Linked DNA regions of Schizosaccharomyces pombe. The gene in region 1 interacts genetically with each later gene. Each region holds a gene or a part of one and is shown in the gene's direction. Other genes may lie near its edges.

Region 1 (6,586 bases):
TCAGAAAAGGATATCTCTGCATAAATGAATGATATTAAATCAAAATTGTTCGTTTTAAAAAACCTATATTATGTTTGTTCGCAGTCCATGTACTACGTTAAAAAATCACTGTAAACTTTCTAGATATCATTATTTAGAGAAGAGCAGAAAGGTAAAGTATTGCAAAGTGTGTAACCAGAAACTGTAGGTAGACAGTAAACTTGATTTTGTTGCTAAAATTTTTTATAAAACTAATTGCATACTAAGTTTAACATTCTAAATCAATTGGAACAAGTATTGAAGTTTAGAGCAATTTGGGATTTGCGAATTTCCACACACCCCTTTACGTCTCCATACCGACTTTTCATTATTTCTGCAAGGATTTGCTCACCCAACTTTTTTCAATATAGCATATTAAGAATTCTGGTTTTTAAAAGACGGTATCCCCTTTTTTACGGCCTTTTACTCACTTAATGATGATTGAAATCATTCCTAAAATTTCAATTCCCAAAAATGGACTAGGTTCATTTACCCGCCCAGTAAGATTTAATCAGCTTTCTTTTTTTTTAAAAAAAAAAAAAAAAAAAAGATTGGCCTTCATTAACTTCGTATTACTAATTTTCTTTTTAGTGCCGTCGAATTGAGTTTTCGTATTGTAATTGGGGTGGAAGCTCAAAAGGCATGAAAGAATTTTTATCCACAAAGCTTGAGTCTTTGGCCAAAGAATCTCAAGATGTGGAATTTCATGTTACAAACCGCCAAGGCAAGCATCCATTAATCCGAGCTTATTACAGTACGTCCAAGACTTTTCTCTTATTATGGTGATCCTCTTAGTTTTATAAATATGAACTCCTTAAAATAGTGTTTTTTACTAATGCTACGATAATAGATACTGGTCGAGAGAAGGTCATTTGTACAAGGAAAATGTCAGCGTCTTCAATATTTCAAAAAGCAATTCTATGCAGAGATAGTGATGGTTTGAAACCTCGCCTCATAAAATATCCTGTTGAGTCAACAAACCCATCCGTTCGTGGTATTTGGAGTCCATTTTCCGATCAAGCAAAGCCCCATGAAATTTATAAGAAAAAGTCCCCTTAGATTCCTCTACAAACTACTTATTATTTCATACAAAAAAAAGAAAATTCAATTTAATCATTTTCGTTATGTTATTATGTCTAACCTTTTTGTCCGAAATACAAAACCCTATCCAAATTTATCTTCCCATAAATACTCTAGTTAACCAGGTAGTAAGTGTACAGATGTATCAAATCCCTTCTTTTTCAATATCAGGAATATGCAACGTCCCTTTTAAGCTTTTTAAAGAAACAGAACAGCCATAGCAAACATTTTGATTCTTAATACCTTCAACGGAATCCGGATGTTCAACCGTAGTTTTTTGTAACCAAGTCTCAGCATCTTCTTGCATTGGTAGATTACAGATGGTACATATGGCTTCTGTAGAAGGCACATGCAATTTTGAGCTCATTTTGACAACGGTGCTAACCAGACTTGGGAATGTATCATTCAGCGATGAGAAATATGATTCTGTAACGCCATGAATAGTATTAGGACGTGCTTCAATTAAGCTATCGCAGAAAGCTAATCCCTTAATGTTCATATACGACTTGAGGTCTGAAGACAAAACTTCACGTAGGGGACGTAGTAGGAAAGTATCGCAATTTGGAAGCTTAGAGCAGACAGAAGTGTACCATGGTATCGCAAAACCTCGACCCTCTGCCACAAGTTCAAGAACTCTTGCAGCAATTGTAGTACCGCTATCACCAAAAACAATGGTATCACAATTTGCCTTCCGGGCATAGGATACTAAAAGCTTATCCCGAATTCGGTAAAGTAAATCTTGACGCGAGGCTAACGAACTAATGACTTCTGGATTAAATTTCTCATTATCTGCGTTTATTTCTATATTTCCTCGTGAGTCTGTAGCAATGGTACGGTTCAATAACTCAGCTTCACCAATAACTTTGAATGGACATTTAGGATAATTTTTGGAAATACTTTCCTCAATCGTTTTTGCAACAGCTGAATCCGTTCCCCACTGAAAATGAACTGCAAGCAATTCATCAAACATAGGCCGGTAATTATCATCTCGATATTTTGATAAATAATTGGCTGTTTCAAGCATTGCCATTGAAGATATACCACCGGAAATAGCCAGCATTGCTCTTTTAGATTTGCGTCCTTGTAAATTGGGTCGTACAAGCTCAAATTGCCGACGAATTTTGTTCTCAATTCTTCTGACAAAGCATGAATCGCAGACCGCATCTGATTTAGTCAGAACTGTTGCCTTATTATCGCATTTGGAACATTTTGAGTCGGCTGAATTGTCTAGAGCCGTGTTCTGCATTTTTTTAGATTTTTCTATTGTTTTTCGAAATGAAGGTCCACAAAGTACTTTCAAAAAAATTATCCGTATAAATAAATAAGTTTAAGAGATACCTATTCTTCTTTCAATTCCAATTTTATGGAAAAAGAATAGTTGGTGGTGCGCAAACCAACTAAACACTGGAATTTTTCATAGTGCCAGCTACTCACACAGTACACCACCATCGACCATGTCTCTGTGTATTAAGTTGCTTCATGAGACCCAAGGTACGATTTTTTACCCAATTTTTTTTTAGTAAAACTAATTTTTAGGCCATATCGTTACGATGGAGTTGGAAAATGGGTCTACGTATCGTGGAAAGTTAATTGAAGGTATATTCATTTTAAAACGATTTCTATTTTGTTATGGTTTACTTACACTAATTAGCGGAAGATAATATGAATTGTCAAATGAGAGATATCAGTGTAACTGCTCGAGATGGTCGTGTTTCTCATTTGGATCAAGTTTACATTCGTGGTTCACACATTCGTTTTCTCATCGTTCCTGATATGCTTAGGTAAGAATTTTTAAGTGGTTGGTTTAATCATAATTTTAACGTTTTTAAACAAGGAATGCTCCTATGTTCAAAGTTGGCCCTGGCAGAAGTGTTCCTTTACCTACACGTGGACGACGATAAAAGAACCGTATGAAAAAGGATAATAGATTTGGTGATTTAAGTAATGAAAAATTCATTTCTACTGTTGCTTTAAAGTTGAAAAACGTAATGATTTTTTAAATATTCAATAAATTAATGGACGCACGTGTTTCTACATTGCATTGTAAGTAGTAAGAGATATTGTGAATAAGCTCTTTTTACATCTTTTCGAAGTACGTTTATGTAGCTGCTGTTTATCGGAGTGATACCTTCGACTTATCTATAGTGACAAATGCTATTACCACTATTTTGTGTTGTTAAAATACATATTTACAACATAAATCTTTATATGCTATACGAATGCAAAAGTTAAGTAAAAAATTGAATAATATGTAATATCCGATACTACAGAATAATAAACCTAACTTATTTTAGCTTAGAAAAAAAAATTAGGTTCTTCTGGCAGCAGCCCGCTTGGAAATCTTTCGACGTTGAGCAAGCATATGTGTATACATAATGTAAAGACCTAGAAAGTTAATAAAGATTTTGGAAGAAAAGCTGGGTTTCACTCAACTTACCAGGTGGATAAATAGACATCAAGATGGGCCAAAGCAGCTTGTTCAAACTCCAGACGTACTGAGCAGCAATCCTACTTTTCAATACTAAAAGAAATTCACTTCCAGCACCGATGGGATAGAGGATTAGGAAGGTATTATAGCGAAGCCATGTTAAGAAAGCAGGGATGTCGCCGTTCAGGTTGAATGCATAAAATGCATAACGAATTATTTCGGTAATGGACCAAGCGATGATCATACTTAAGTATATAGGAGATCCCTCAATAACATATGAAAATGGATAGCACACACCCCAAACAAGGTAAAGTCGAGATGCAACTTGAATGATTGTTGTTAAAGGAGAAGAAGATACTAGTCCAAATATACTGTGGAATACTTCAGCTATTGCCAGAGTTTGTACCCAGCGAACTAAAGTATTTGTTTCATGAAAAACTACGGCTGTATCTTTGGTTATTCCCCATATCAATCCTGTACGAAGCAAAACGCTCATCCAAAGAAAGCAGGAGATAACATTGTATAGTTTTAAATATTGTATTTTTACTATTTTTAACTTTGTTAATAACTGAGATCTATAAAAAATCGAGTCTTACAAATTTTCGACATTTTTGTTGGGATTGTAGTTGGAACAATACGATTTTCAAACGTTTCACTACGCGGCCTCACTTGTATGAGACCATTGTTGGCCAATATTGTTTGTTGCGTTCTGGGGGATGGATAAATTCTTTCTATCAAAAGAATGTATACAAACACTTTACAAACAACTTTTAAAATTCGGATTTGGCTAACATCGTTATGTATTAATGAAAATATCAAATTCGCACAGAATCATAAATTGATCAAAAATAATATCAATCAGATTATTAAAAAATTAAGGTAAATTACATATTCTATAACTAATTGGGTTATCTGACTCGATTGATGATACGTGTCTTTATTTACATTATCAAGTCAAAAAAAATTTACAAACCCCGGGTATTAAATTAGTAATCTGAACCAGTTTAAAATTAGAAATTTATAATTATTTGAAAACATTTTTCTGCTATATGTAATTTGTTTAAAGTACTATGTGCTAGTCATTTCGTAAGAAGAAAGCCTGCTGTTACGGATGACTAACATCCTAGCCACAGCCAAACACTCCTTTCATCGAAAAAAAATTGCAATCACATGTAAGAGGTTTATTAAGGGACAATCTGATTATTATAATAATTATTGATAATTTTGATAGAAGTTATAAAAACTATGAATCTGATTCATAAAGTATCAACTATATGTCAATGTGTCTTGGTAATTCTTGCAAAGTATTGTATGCAAATAATTGCGCTTTCGTTGATGAGTGGTGTTCAATGGCTTGCTTGGGGAATTTACAAAATCAATAAAAATCGTGTAGGGATCATCATTTTGTTTTTGTACATTATGATCGTAACATGTTATGTCCTTACTAATCTTACACCACCAGGCTCTCCATCGGTACGTCAATTTCCTTTAGTATAAATATTATGTGAGTATTATTAAAACAGGAAACTAACTCTTCTGTTTCAGGAGACCTCGTTTGATCCGAATTCTACTAGGCAATATATGACATTACAGAATGGAAAATCTCGATTTTGCGAAAAATGTCAAGAATACAAATGCGATCGATCTCATCATTGCTCGCAATGTAATAAGTGCATTCTTCGAATGGACCATCATTGCATGTGGTTTAAAAATTGTGTTGGATTCCGTAACCACAAGTTTTTCTTCCTGGAGTGCTTCTACTTAAATCTCTACTCCATCTGCGTTCTTTATTCAACTTTTGTTGCCATCACCAAAACTTTCACAGCCGAAGGAGCGAATATTAGTGCTATTTATTTAGTGTTCTGGGGCTTTCTGTTTGCTTTTGCTGTTGGAATGAGCATTGTTATGACTGCCTTTACTTTTTATCATACATCATTGCTCATTCATAATTTAAGCACTTTGGAATCCATGAGCTCTTCATGGAGTCGATATACGCATTCCACTCAACCGTTCAATGTCGGCTGGTACGAAAATTGGTGCCAGATTATGGGGAAATCCCCATTTCTTTGGTTACTTCCTTTTCCCAATTCTATTGGGGAAGGTGTTGAGTATCCATTAAATGCAAATGCTCTCCCTTATTTACCCCAAACAGAAGAGAAGAATGACAAACTCTACAAGAGCTCGGTTCCTGCTAGCATTGCTGGAGCTGAAGGTTGGAGTAGCGATGAAGAGCAATATGCTATGAAAAATCGCCGTTGGAATCCTCATATGGGGCAATATGAGTGGATTGAAGACTTCTTGGTATAAGCCAACGACATTTCTATTTTACTGTTTTCAAGAGTAAATCATCCGGTGAATCAATCTTTTTTACGAAAAAAAATGCTTAATGTTTCTTCCGCTCCTTAATAATCCGTGTTTTTGCCGATTTTGAGTTTTGCCTCCGAAAAAATCAGTTGAAAGCACTTTAGAAAAAAAAATAAGCAAATATGTCCTTTTCGATGATTGCTTGACTACCCTTATGGATTTTTGGAAGTGTTTTTGAATGCTTACTTAGGAGTTTAACACGTCTCGCAATTTTTTTAAGAAAAGCACTCATTGCAAATTGCAACAATCCATTGGATATGACTCGAATTGAAGATTCGTTTGTTTTATTCTTTACAAAAACAAGGATTTCAGCTAGTTTTTGAAAATTTCCCTGCGTGATTAATAGTTTGGGAAAAAATTTTCGTTATCCCTGTTCGACTATTCAAGTATCGCAACCTTTGATCGCTTGAATATGCACTGTAATGATAAATTGTTTATGAGTAATATTATGTATTTAGTTTAACTTGATCAGCATTTTCCATGTTTTTCATTCGTTTTATGTCTTTCCTTAGTTATTTTATTTTATTTTATTTTTTTCGTATTGAATTTTTTCAATGTGAATATATTTTTAATTAATTAATTCAATTCATTATTATATAAGAGTTGTTATTTTATCTCTTATTGTTAGTAACAATATAATATTATAAGTGCTTATGTGCACGTAAATAATAGTCACTTATAATTGTAACCAATGTA
Region 2 (6,883 bases), on another chromosome or scaffold:
ATACAAGCATTGCGTTATCGTGCAGATCATGAAGAGCCGGTTCCAGGGGGATACAAAAACATTTCTGTTCTTCGTATGAATTGCCAAAAGTTCCTTCCAAATTTCTTCGAAAAAGGGCAACTCTCAAAAATGTTTTTCTGCTTTCCAGATCCTCACTTCAAGGCTCGTAAACATAAAAATAGAATTATCACAAGTACTTTGGCAAGTGAGTATGCTTATTTCATTCGACCCCATGGAACGCTTTATACCATTACAGACGTGGAAGAGCTACATGTTTGGATGGCTCAACATCTCGACGCGCATCCCTTGTTTCGACGATTCACAAAAGAAGAAGAAGAAAACGATATATGTGTTACATTGATGACAAACGAAACAGAGGAAGGGAAAAAGGTTGCACGTAATGGCGGAAAGAAATTTGTTGCATGTTATGAGCGCATTCCAAATCCAAAATAACTTAATAATTGGGCTGAATAATATAGGTTTAAAATAACTAAATTAACATTTATCGCTAACATCATTACACTTTCGCATTGACTTACTGTTTAACTACTCATTTACAAAATCCGTACCTATCCTCAAGCTGGCTCCGTAAATAAGAGAGCTCTTTGCAACTATCCTTTTAACTCCATGGCAATATATTATGAATGCTAAATAAAACAAGAAATCTAGTAAATTTGCAAAAGGAGTAATTTTACATGTTAAGTGCCGAATTTTTGGGATTTTGAAATAAAATCAATTTGTACGGTAATATGACCTACAGCTCTCTTAAGTATTTTCAAGATACTATATTATTACTTGCTACATAATACTTCAATAACCTAAATGATCGAAATTTCAATAATTTTTAATGACTATTTGACATTCTTTAACAGTATACTAGGGCAGGGTTGTGACTGTCCAAGGATTATATAAGTAGAAGCTCATAACAAGAGGTGGTTTGTCAATTACAAAACAGAATGTAAGTAATTTCAACTTGAGTTTTAAAACGCTGAAACAATGTTAAAAATATTACTATGATGAGCAATTTGTGTCGCCCCTATCCGAAATCTGTGACGATTGACCCGGAAGCCAAATCCGATCTCTGAATATTTCTATTGTTTCAAGTGCTTTTCCATGAAATCTTATTATTTGAATAATTTACTAACTTTTTTTTACAGATTCTTATAAGCTTGAGCAAAATAAAATTAAATTCTTCTTTTTGACTCTTTAACCGTGTGTGTGTACTTTCATTTTTTTTTTATAAATTGCATCTTTTTGTAACGATTTGTTTTTGAATTTTAATTTGAAAAATGTTCCTTGCTAGTGATGTTTTTCTTTTATATTCTATGCTAATCATGAAATCTAATGATTATACTTTTATTTATAAAGACTGAAGCAAGCAATTTAGTATTTCAAAAATAAACAAGCAAAGAGGTTGTCGTATCTAAAAATTGAATGATTTTACGTGAGTTAGCTCATACGATGAAAGTATTTTTTTCTGTAATATCAGTATTGCATGATTGAGCTGTAGATTTCTGAGAACCAAGAATCAATAGCCGATGGCCGGTTTCATTATCATCTTTGTATATGATTAACACATTAGGATATTAGTAGAAAATGCTCAGACAATGACTGTAAGTGAATTTGGTGATTGACTACATGCACGATTGATCATTGCCTGTTAGGTCTAAAAGAGCAACACTCAAAACAGACTGGCATGTGGATTTAACCGTTGTCACATTCAAACTCCATTTGCAGTCACTATTGCTTCGAACAATACTTGAATTTTTCCATATGAAGTCAAAACATCGACATGAACAAAACTAGTAGCGTAGTCTAACGTATTGAAGAAAATTACCCTATTACATGTAACAGACTCTTCTGTTATCACAAATTCAGACATAATGAGAGACTGTTAGCAAACCTTATAAATTTGTTGGTTTTCGTTATCAATCAATAGCGTGTTTTTGAATAATAAGTTCTTACACTTAAAGTCGTACTTTGGGGTGCAGCAATTTTCAGCTGAACTAACATCTAAAACTTTTAGTTTGGTCGCAAACGGGATTCTTGGATAAAAATGTATGCTTTGTTAAGTGTCTACGATAAAACTGGCTTGTTAGAACTTGCCAAAGCGTTAACAAGCAAAGGCGTTAAGCTTTTGGGCAGTGGTGGTACTGCCAAGATGATCCGTGAGAGTGGAATGGAAGTCGCTGATGTATCTTCGATCACCAATGCTCCTGAGATCTTGGGTGGTCGTGTAAAGACCTTGCATCCTGCTGTCCATGGAGGCATTCTTGCTCGTGATATTCCTTCCGATGAAAAGGATCTCGTTGAACAAAGCATCGAGAAGATCGATATCGTGGTTTGCAATCTTTATCCCTTCCGTGAAACTATTGCCAAGCCTAACGTTACCATTCCTGAAGCTGTTGAGGAAATTGATATTGGTGGAGTTACTTTGTTGCGTGCCGCTGCAAAGAACCACGCTCGTGTAACCATTTTGAGCGATCCCGCTGATTATGCGACTTTCACTGATAAGTTTTTGTCAGACAAACTTACTCAAGATGACAGAAATACTTATGCTTTGAAGGCCTTTGCTTCTACTGCTTCTTACGATGCTGCCATCACTGATTACTTCCGCAAGCAATATGCTGCTGGCGTTGATCAATTGACTCTCCGTTATGGTGCTAATCCCCATCAATCTCCTGCCCAAGCCTTTATGGAACAAGGACCCCTTCCTTTCAAAGTTTTATGTGGTTCCCCTGGCTACATCAATCTTATGGACGCTTTGAACTCTTGGCCTTTGGTCAAAGAGCTTCGTGAAAACATCGGTATTCCTGCCGCTGCTTCCTTTAAGCATGTTTCTCCTGCCGGCGCTGCTGTTGGTCTACCCTTGTCTGATGTTGAAAAGAAGGTATACTTTGTTAGCGACATTACCGAGTTCACTCCTTTGGCTTGTGCTTATGCTAGAGCCCGTGGAGCTGACCGTATGTCTTCCTTTGGTGACTTTATTGCTCTCTCCGATACAGTTGATGTTTGCACTGCTCGTATTATCTCTCGTGAGGTTTCCGATGGTGTTATTGCACCCGGTTACGAGCCCGAAGCCTTGGAGTTGTTGAAGAAGAAGAAGGGTGGTAAATACTGTGTATTGCAAATGGACCCCAAGTATGTTCCCGCCGAAATTGAGACTCGCCAGGTCTACGGTATTAGCTTACAACAGCATCGCAACCATGCCAAGATTGACTTCAGCCTTTTTGAGAAAGTTGTTAGTAAGAACAAGGATTTACCCAAATCTGCTCTTATTGATTTGGTTATTGCTACCACTGCTCTTAAGTATACTCAAAGTAACTCTGTTTGCTATGCTAAGAATGGTATGGTTGTTGGACTTGGTGCTGGTCAACAATCCCGCATTCATTGCAACCGTTTGGCCGGTGATAAGGCTGATAACTGGTGGCTTCGTCATCACCCTAAAGTCTTGGGTATGCAATTTAAGAAGTCTGCTAAGCGTCCTGAGAAATCTAACGCTATTGACTTGTACGTCCTTGATGCCGTTCCTGCTGAAGGTAGTGAACGTGAGCAATGGGAGTCTGCATTCGAGACTATTCCCGAGCCTCTTACTAAAAAGGAGCGGGAGGAATTTTTGGCTACTTGCAAGGATGTTGTCTGTGCCAGTGATGCCTTCTTCCCCTTCCCTGACAACATCTATCGTCTTGCCCAAAGCGGTGTCAAATATGTTGCTGCACCTGGCGGTAGTGTCATGGATCAAGCTGTTCGCGACACTGCTAATGAGTTCAACATGGTCTTTTCCGAGATCCCCTTGCGTTTGTTCCACCATTAATCTTGTTTGTATACCTAATTTTTGACCACTATTACTATGGATATAATTTTTTTTGTTCTGTATATTTGATAGGTTTCCTCAGTTTATACCATCATTTAATAGAGGTATTACAATAAAGACTTCAACGTCTTTTACTTTTTTTGATTTAATATAAAAAAATTTGGCATCTTTTTTGTATCCTGAATTTTGAAAAGATTTCCGATACTCAAGGCATTTTATTTCAGTAATAGTAGGGAAAATATTTTTTATTGTTTAACACGAATGCAACAATTTTATTCGAAAGCTTGGAAATTCACAGCATAACGGGCTCAATAAAGCATTTTTGGTTGCTAAGCTAACATATGAAGTAGAAAGGAAAACGCCATCAAACCTGCTTTTTGGATGTGAGCTTCGCAGTAAACTGACTGAGTTAAACATGTTCTTGGGTGTTTGCAAATTTCTATTAAATTGATTGAGCGTATGTTTTTGCTGCAGTTGATTTGAAGCATAAAAAATCCGGTCAGGGAGGGACTCGAACCCTCGACCTCACGATTAACAGTCGTGCGCAATAACCAACTATGCTACCCGACCTTAGTTACTCACGAGCAAAATTAGTACTATTTAATGGTATTAAAAAGGATTTAATGACTTTAAAATTGTTTTTTTTTTAACCCCATTCTTGCTTGATATATTTCCCATCTTAAAGGGTTACATACTCTTATTCTTTTATCTTTCATTCGATTGTGATTGATTTACCATATCAATAATCATCTTACAAGACCGGAAACTATCAACTATCTGGACGTAAAGTGAAGCATAAAGAAGATGGCATAGAGGACGGAAGGGAATTTTTATTATTATTCCAAGAAACCATGCTAAAATCACGTTTAAACCCTACTCCCTACTAACTCAGTATCTACTGAGTAGCTTTCATAGGTCTCGAACCGAATGGGAAAGACCAACGCTTTCTACATTAGAGAAAGTGGTTCTCTAAAAAATATTTAAAAAAGTATTTCTTTCTTGTTGCTTTTCTTTTTGTTACAGCGAACAAGTGCTCCCTTTAAATAGCTTTTTTGTTTTCATCCTGCCAGTCCTTACAACAATCCCTTACCACTGTGCACCAATACAACCTAAAGTTGAATTTCTGTAACAGTAGGATTTACAAAAGTTCTTTTGATTCTTAATTAGTATACGAGATGTAGCACTTCTACACGATTACTGTGTCCATGTACTATATGGTTGTATGCCTCTCAAAATAAAGATGACATATTTTCAGACTACCTTTTTCAAAAAGAAGGCTTCTCAATTCTACTGCTACAATTTATTCGTACTATCATTTCTATTATTGAAATTTCTCTACCATACATTTTAATTTCACTTGACAAATAGCGATACGTTAATGAACGCTATTACTGAATATGTACGTCGCTGGTACCACTAACACGTATGCGTTAGGAAACGTGATTTTAACCAAAATCTGTATAGAGGACGACTTTACATCGTTCTAGTTTAACACCTTTCAGTTTAAGGAATTTTCTTGATGTATTCAAAAGAAAGAAGGCGTTTATTAGTTTGACTATTCGCTTGATGAAATGGACCCAGGAGTTTCATCGCATCTCAGAACTGCTAGCCTTGATGAAGCAAGAAGGCTTCCAGAGCTTGAGCGTGTTTTAAAATCCGGATGGTTGATAAAGAAAGGACATGCAACTTCTGTATGTATTCATTAACTTAGTTGTCTGAGTAATATTTACGATACGTTTGAGTGGAAAGGGATTTGGAGTATTCTTTAATTTTGTGAAGTGTACTTAGAAGTGAATGATACGTACTCTTAATTCTTTATTGTTCGCTTTTGATTTGGGGATATGATGATGCAAACAGCACCCTACAAGCACTTTGACCAATTGATTTTCAGAATATTCCAATTATTTGCTTCCCGTTTCAGAGTCAATATTTGCACTCATGGTTTTTTTTGTAGTGGATGCTAACAACCTAGACTAAAAAGCAATTATGGGCTGTTCTTCGCAGAGATCAGTTATCTTTTTACAAAGACGAAAAGGTTTGTGAATAAAATGTGCAAATTTCAACGACGCGCTAACAGTCTTCAAGGAGTACAAAACCAAATTTATTTTCCCTACTCAGGATATTTCAGCTGTTGCCTACTACAAAGAAAAATCACCAAAAAGTACGTTAGAATTTTTGATGTTTATATCTAATGTTTAGCTTTTTTCCTGTATTTAAATGAAAAGATAATTCGTCTCATTGCCACTTCAAATGAGGATGCTGAGGAATGGGTTCATGTTCTAAGATCCACAACGGGTTATAGGGCACCGTTTTCAAGACATCCTATCAGTTATATCCTTGCGAACTCTTCATCTCGAACCGAAAGCGAGCCTAACGTTCAGATCTCTGATACTGACTTCGACAATATTTCGACTGAACCTCGTAATCAAACGACTTCTCCTTTAGACTTGGAAACTGGTCAGGGTGACCATTTCTGTACTTCACTTTATGATTTGATACAGTTTGGAAAGTTGAGACCACCAGGTATCAATGAAGAAAATGCAAATTACCCCTTCAACCCACAAGAAGTTAATACGCTGAATAAGCACAGGCATTCGGCTTCCTTACAAAATCTCTATAAACTCTTGGATGAAAATAAAGTTCTTATGCAAGGAACCATTCACTGGCTACATGGAAATTTACATAGGTGGTCCAAGTGTTGGGCTGTTGTTCGTGGATATGGTATGACTATTTACAACACGAACCGAGAGTACAAACCTGTTAAAGTGATACCGATAGCCGACATTCAGGATGTTGCTGAAATAAACGTTCCGGAAAGCTCACACAAATACTTTTTTACCGTAATTACGCAAAACAAACCTATCGAATTTCGCGTTGATAACGAAGATTCACTTATACTCTGGGTTGCTGCACTTAAGACTTCTATTGACAAGGCCAATGGTACTTTTACTGCTTGTTAAAAATGGCTTTTCCATCAAAATATTTGGTGCATAATACGATTCCTCAGCTACTTTTCTAGCTACCTTCTTGTGATTTCCTTTCATAAGACTCCCCTTACCCTTCGTGTAC
Region 3 (6,883 bases), on another chromosome or scaffold:
TATACTCGGTTAATAAAAAGGTCTAAAAGTTTAAAATAATTTTTAAATACCCCGAGTTTTCAGTTTTGTTTTGTTTTTTGTATTTATTGGTTATCTATTGTACATAGTACATAAAAAATTGAAAAGTTTCATGTTCCCAAACTGGTTCTTTAGTGTTATTCTTTTTATTACAATACAACTTGTTTTGCTTTTTTTTTGGTTTGATGATTGCTAACAGTATTTTGAATTTTCCCGGTTTTACAAGATATACTTATTGACTTGATAGTGATATTTTGAATCTTTGGTAAATAGACATGCTATTTGCAAACCGTCTGTTAAATGATAGTATGTGTCGGTGATATTGGAATAATATAAATTAAAAAGTTGAATAGACCAAATTTATTGTCTATATAAAAAAAATAATAATTAATAATTTATAAGTGTTTTCATATATATTTTATTTTATTTTATTGTATTGTTTTTTTTTTTTTTTTTTTAACTTCAATAAAGTTTTTTTCATTCTTACCGTGCTTAATAATTCATAAATATTATTTAATGGCAATTGCATTTTGTAAAACGAATAAACATAATGGCTCATGCTTTTTTTCTTCTTTTCTTTCTTTCTTTTTTATTTTTTTGTTTTTTTTGAAGAAAAGATATAAAGGAGAGACCAATTATTGAAATAACATTTATTTACTTTTTTACTTACCTGCAGTAGCGTTTATAGTATTCGGCGAAAATAGATCGGTTTGTATGAATTCTTAATAGTTTTTGGCTATTCATACCGATTGCAACAAGCTAGAAACCTTGCAATCCATAATCTTAGTAAATTAAAAAGTAAAAGAAAGTTAACTTATTTTTCTTTGAGCATATTCGCTGTGCAGGGTTGGCTGTTACGATGGTGGTCAATCGCACCTGCATATAAGATGAAGTATTGTGTGGTTTTCAATGATTACTGTTTGTCAAACGAGATGCTAATTATAAAAGTAGAAACAATTTATACGTGAACTTAATAAAAAGGAAATGTTTATTATATATTTTTCGTAATGATAGAGTCTCACTAGTAAAAAGAATCAATAAATTTCCCTCGAAAACATCGCACAGTATGCTCTTACAAAGAAATGTGAAAAGAGATAATTTGAAAATGAATTAGTAGTTGTCTTTGAAAATATTTAATATATACAGACTTTAATTACTTATAACATTGCTTAATTAAAAGTGTGCTTTGTGTTTACTAGTGCTCCTAACCAGCTCGCTTTTCCTAAGCTTGTAAATAAAACAAAGTACACTGAATGTCCATTACTCAAGGCAATTGCCAAAAAAAAAGGGCATTAGCAAAAGCGAAAATAAACTTGCCCCACAATTTTGTTCAGGTATAGTCCTAGAACACTGTTCCACACCGGTTTCCTCGCATACACGTCTTCGTTGACTTTCGCTCGCATGCTGCAAATCCTTTTTTGACAAATAGCGTGCAGCATAGCTAGTCCAACGTACGCACGTTAGTTTACGAGCCTAAATGTACTCCACGTCATGGAGGGAAAGGTAACTTGGAAGGTTAGCCCCACACTTTCCTTAACCCCATTATCTCCATTTTTCAATGATGTCAACGTAAAAGGTGGAAGCTCGCTTGTTCCGAATGACGGCGAATAGAAACGTAGAATTTTTCAAACCGTAATTTGATTGGCGGAAGGTTTGGTTTTCATGAATGTTCTCCACACTATGGGAAAACGAGGGGAGCAAAGTGAACAAAATACTGAGAGGTGATTGGATATGTCCCACTTTTTCATGTGATGCTCCTCATTTAACTAATAATTGGTGCGAAAATTTTCTTGCTCTTGCGGTAGACATTTTTGCACTGCGCATGTGTTCCTCCATTGTTCTAGACTGCGTTCCTCTACACCACCCCGCATTTGTTCGTCCGACTTTAGGCTCTTTTCCTTCTTCCCCGCCAAACTTTTGAGCGGATACTTGCCTGATTTCTTACCGGAATGGTGAGGGGCGAACACCTTTAGAATAGTGTTTCAAACACTTTTTTTTGGGTTTTGGCGGGGTTAAACTGACGAACAACGAAGAAAAAACAAGAATTCTAACAATTTACAACAGAATCCGTAAAAAAATTAGAAGCTTGTCTGACCAGCGGTAGTATAGAAGGGTTTAAACGGTGAGTAGAGTGTTTGTATTTTTCCCCAGTGTACCTTTTGCCAGTAGACAAACATCCCATCCTTTCTTGTGGGCAGCGTTATTTTGATGATAACTCTATCCCACTATTACTCCAGTTGCTTGGATACATCGTCGCAGCTCTGGACCAATGTTGCAGTTGCTTCCTAATTTTTAGAGGGTCAGTTGCCGGTACTCACGGGGCCCCAGACATGGATTCTGTCAAGATTGTGGGGTAGATGCAAGTTGAAGTCAAAAAAATGAGAATCAAAAACTTGAAAATAAAATACATAAAATGATTTATTTTATTTTTCTTTGTATAATCCATGTAAAATTATAGACTGTATGCACTGAAACCTTGTTCCGAGCGACTGGTCCCAGGTATATAAGTGGTGCTGGTGCACAGGCATTTTCACCACCATCGCAATCAAACAACTTTCCTTGATCTGTTCATTGTTTCAAAACAAAAAATTCCGTTTTTTGGAATCCCTAATCATCTTCCTTACTTTTATTTAAATCTTAATCCATCCAAGCGAGGAATTTTGCATTTTCCTTTCTTGTGATTGCTCCCTTTTTCTTAGCTCTTTGAAAAATACCCCAAAAAAGAAAACACTAACACTCTTTCGGTTAGAGAGCGTTTTCGCATTAGTTGAATCCAAAAACATATTTTACGATCCAACACTGTGATTTGGCTTAATTTCTTTTTTCAGTGATTCCCTCATTCCTTCATCATAATTTCTCGTATCATCATCACACTTTTCTTTCCTAGTGTATCCTTTGGTGCGATTTCCGGTTTTCTCGTCGTTATTCCTTTTTAATTTTCTCTTTCTTATTACTCACTCAAACAAAAAAAGGTCGTCGTGGACTTTTTAAATCGTTGTACTTTTAGCACTTTCCTACATCTTCCTTTTGAATATTTATTATTTATCCTTTAGGGAAAAGATTTTATTCATTTTGAACCTTTGCATTAAACTTCGTTTGCCAGGTTCTTTCATTTTGTTTTTAGTCCCGTTTTCCTGCCTTCTTTAGTTCTATCTATTGTGGGGTTTGTGTTTTCGTCCACTATTTGCAAATTCTAGGTTTTTGTTACTTTACCACTTTTTCCTCTCCGACTTACGGAATAGTATCAGTCCGAGATCTTGATTGGGTGTCATTCGGAAAGTAATACACTCGTGTGACGTTTATTAAATTTTTTTTCTTATATACCCTTTCCGTCCCACTCCCAACTTTGAACGTTCATTTGGGGATTTAATTTGCATACATCTTTGCATATCTATTCTCAACATTTTAGTTTAAATATTCAAAATGCTTTTCCGCGGATTAAGCCTGTGGATGCTCTTTTTGGCATCCTGCCTTTCTGCCCTTGCTCTTCCCGCTGCTGAAGACGATGGTTCTGTCAAGGTCTTCAAGCGTGCCAAGAAGCATAGCACTAAGCAAGAGGGACCCAGTTACGCTCCTTATTATGTGGACTGTCCCTCTGATAACATTGTCGAGAGTCTCTCCAGCAATGAGATTCCTAGCGCCGAGTCTGAATACTTGAGCACTCGTTCTACTATTACCAACACTGCCATGAAGGACTTCCTTCGTAACGCCAACTTGCCTGGTTTGAATGCCGATACTCTTTCTGGCTCTGAAGGTCCTTCTATCGGTATTGCCTTGTCCGGTGGTGGTTTACGTGCCATGATTTTGGGTTCTGGTGCCCTCTCTGCCATGGATGCTCGTCACGACAACCACACTGTTTTGACTGGTCTCCTTCAAGCCTCTGACTATCTCGTTGGTACTGATGGTAGTGCCTGGACTGTTGGTGGCATTGCTCTCAACAATTTCAGTACCATTAACGACTTTAGCAAACTTTGGGCTTTCAACCACCCTTTGATGTATCCCAAGAGTGCTATTGTTTTCAACGCTCATTTCTACAGTTCTATTATGAATGAAGTTGCCGAAAAGGCCAATGCTGGCTTTAACATCAGTCTTTCCGATTACTGGGGACGTGTGATTTCTCGTACCCTTGGTGACACTACTTATGGTTTCCCTAATGTCTCTTTGTCTAGTATTACTTCCCAAGAATGGTACCGCAATGCCAACTTCCCTTACCCCATCATTACCTTTGCTACCCAAAACTATGGTGAGGATATTAGCAATGTTAACACTACTTTCTTTGAAGCTTCCCCCAACGTTTTCGGTACCTTTGACCATGGAATCAACTCCTTTATTCCTACCGAATACTTGGGTACTACCTTAAACAATGGTGCTAGCAGCAATGGTTCTTGCGTTATCAACTATGACAACTTTGGTTTCATGATGGGTGCTTCTTCTACTTACTTCAACAAGATAATGCGTAACTTCAATGACTCTTCTACCAAGAACGGTCGTATCATCCAACAATACTTGAAAGGTAACTTTTCTGAAAACGGTCAACAAATCATCTCCATTCCCAACCCCTTCCAAGGTGTTGAGAGTGCTAATTCTGATGCTGCCAACAACTTGGGTTCCAGCTCTTCCCTTAACTTAGTTGATACCTTCCTTACTGGTGAGAAGATTCCTTTGTGGCCTTTGTTGCAAAAGGGTCGTGATGTCGATGTTATCGTTGCCGTTGACAATGGTGATGACAGTGAATGGCTCTGGCCCAACGGTAACTCTCTTGTCCAAACTTATGAGCGTGTCGTTGCTGCCCAAGCTGCCGGAAACACCAATGTTAAGGGTTTCCCCTACGTTCCTAGCCAACAATCCTTTGTCAGTCTTCACTTCAACGATCGCCCTGTCTTCTTTGGTTGTGATGGTCGTAACACCACTGCTGGTAACCACACTGTTACCCGTGACACTCCTCCTTTGGTTATCTATCTTCCCAACGTTCCTTACAACTACTTCACTAACATTTCCACTGATCGCACCTACTACACTGAAGACATGATTCAACAACTTCTTACCAACGGCCTTATTTCCTCTACCGTTGACAATGACACCTACTTTGGTCAATGTTTTGCCTGTGCCGTTGTTAAGCGTACTTTGGAGCGTAACAACATCACTGCTAGCCCCGAGTGCCAACAATGCTACTATAACTACTGCTGGAGCGGTCTTTATGATGACAGCGCTGCTAATGATGATATTGTCTACAATCCTACTTGCCGTCTTGGTGAAGGCATTTAAGGAAAGGCGCATGCAAACTTTTCTCTCTTCAGTATTTATACGACATATCTGTTGCTCACAAGCAAAAGATAGAGGGCAATGCTTATGCCTGGAAAAAAGTTTTTAAAAAAAATCTATACAATGTCTGCTGTCTTAGCATAAATCAAACCTAGCCATATATGTGAATCAATCCAATTACGCGATATGGGTTTTTGTTAACGGATTATTAAACTGAACGTTCACTCCGCTCTAATTAGGGAGACTATTTTGTTATCTTCCGAAAGTATTTTATTCTAATTTACCCTCTCTTCGGAATGTTTTTTGTTCATTTTCTATTGTGAGCTTTCGTTTGCTGTAATTCAGTTTTGTTGACGGCTCCAAATTGGACGTGTTCTAGTTGTTTATGAGAGTTGCTGTTATATATAGTTGCGAAAATAAGTCATTTTTTTAATTCTTGGTTGTAATAAGAATGTTGTTTGTCTATATAAATAAGTTGACTGTAATTTTTTTGTTTTGTTTGATTCAAAAAATTATTATTTATATGTATATATTTTGTATGATAAAATTTGATTTTTAAAGGTTTGCTATACTTGAACAAGGAATAGTGAACTTTAACATACAGCCTATAATTCATTAATTAGGATGAGGAAGGAGATGTAGAAATGAAAAAATTTAGTTAACGTAAAACAGATTATACGATCATTTACAAATTATATCAACTGTACGCAATTTAATCAATGAAGTAGTGGGGATGTAGATGAGACAGTATAGAATACATCACAACGAGTAATGGGAGAAAAAAATTGTAGTAGTTGCGCGGGTTTTGCTCGGCCTCGGGCTTTACTTTCTAATCCGATGACTGTGAGTTACGTGTTTTGCAAAATTATTTAGCAAGTGTGCATTTTATGCTTTAAGTCTAAACGAAATGGGATCCGAGTTAACTTTAAGTTGAGGCTTTGCTTTTGATATAGGTATGCGCATGCGATTTACAAAAATCTAATCGAACAGAAGTAAGTATGTGTGTATGATAATAACATTTTGATAAATAAAGAAAACTGGCTAAACATATATTATGTAGAATTGAAAGAGCATAATTACAAGAAGAAAGACACTTGAAGATATGTTGTGATGTCATTAGATGTAGCGACTTTACAAACATGAAACTATGAGGAAAAAAAGAGTTACTGAGAGAGATTGATGATATTTTATATACACCATGACTCCAAAGATTGAAGGAAGTTAATAAATAAACATTGTGATTCATATTTTAATCAATTATGTAAAATGCGGCCAGTTGTAATGTAATGCGACTAATTTGATGCCAGTAATGTGTGTTAAATAATAGTCAAGGACAATCTGCAAGTTCCTTAGAAAGGTCCGGTTTCGAAGAGGCACACTTAATATCCGAGGGCGGCGCAGTTGAAATAACCAGCCCGGTTGAACGCTACATTCTCCTATACTTAACCTGCAAATGTTTCCGTCGTTAAGGATTTTAGATATATAGCTTAGCAACATTCATCCCAATGTGAACTTTAAAGCAGTCATAGTTGACCAGAAGATGAGCAACAAATTCAACGTAAAGGCTTGCGTCTCAGCGACTGCTCAAAATATAGATTTACAC

The links.
Region 2: mutations in pfa3 (region 1) and opy1 together harm fitness more than expected from each alone (negative genetic interaction), as found in Schizosaccharomyces pombe (one large-scale study listed by BioGRID).
Region 3: mutations in pfa3 (region 1) and plb1 together harm fitness more than expected from each alone (negative genetic interaction), as found in Schizosaccharomyces pombe (one large-scale study listed by BioGRID).

What each region holds. Positions count from the first base shown.
Region 1 is NC_003423.3:1,699,630-1,706,215, forward strand, and holds pfa3 (palmitoyltransferase Pfa3), read left to right. Parts: upstream 1-4,651; 5' UTR 4,652-4,771; coding exon 4,772-4,999; exon of another isoform or gene 5,000-5,071; coding exon 5,072-5,833; 3' UTR 5,834-5,898; downstream 5,899-6,586. Other genes in the region: mrpl51 (mitochondrial 54S ribosomal protein mL43), read left to right, coding at 453-518, 610-772, 869-1,077; cytosolic thiouridylase subunit Ctu2, read right to left, coding at 1,244-2,344; Sm snRNP core protein Smd3, read left to right, coding at 2,553-2,589, 2,635-2,694, 2,750-2,879, 2,933-2,999; phosphoprotein phosphatase Phs1, read right to left, coding at 3,407-3,483, 3,536-4,072, 4,123-4,135. UniProt on the Schizosaccharomyces pombe protein: Palmitoyltransferase specific for VAC8. Palmitoylates VAC8 at one or more of its N-terminal cysteine residues, which is required for its proper membrane localization.
Region 2 is NC_003421.2:944,763-951,645, reverse strand, and holds the start of opy1 (protein opy1), read left to right. Parts: upstream 1-5,261; 5' UTR 5,262-5,385; coding exon 5,386-5,505; exon of another isoform or gene 5,506-5,786; coding exon 5,787-5,849; exon of another isoform or gene 5,850-5,899; coding exon 5,900-5,975; exon of another isoform or gene 5,976-6,013; coding exon 6,014-6,774; 3' UTR 6,775-6,883. Other genes in the region: tRNA (guanine-N7-)-methyltransferase catalytic subunit Trm8, read left to right, coding at 1-453; ade10 (bifunctional IMP cyclohydrolase/phosphoribosylaminoimidazolecarboxamideformyltransferase), read left to right, coding at 2,057-3,814. UniProt on the Schizosaccharomyces pombe protein: Binds phosphatidylinositol 4,5-bisphosphate (PtdIns(4,5)P2/PIP2) at the cell membrane.
Region 3 is NC_003424.3:1,073,177-1,080,059, reverse strand, and holds plb1 (lysophospholipase 1), read left to right. Parts: upstream 1-3,366; 5' UTR 3,367-3,441; coding exon 3,442-5,283; 3' UTR 5,284-5,729; downstream 5,730-6,883. Other genes in the region: ptl3 (triacylglycerol lipase), read left to right, coding at 1-39; SPOM_SPAC1A6.11 (uncharacterized protein), read right to left, coding at 6,206-6,526. UniProt on the Schizosaccharomyces pombe protein: Catalyzes the release of fatty acids from lysophospholipids. Required for survival under high osmolarity, for normal osmotic stress-induced gene expression, and for nutrient-mediated repression of sexual differentiation.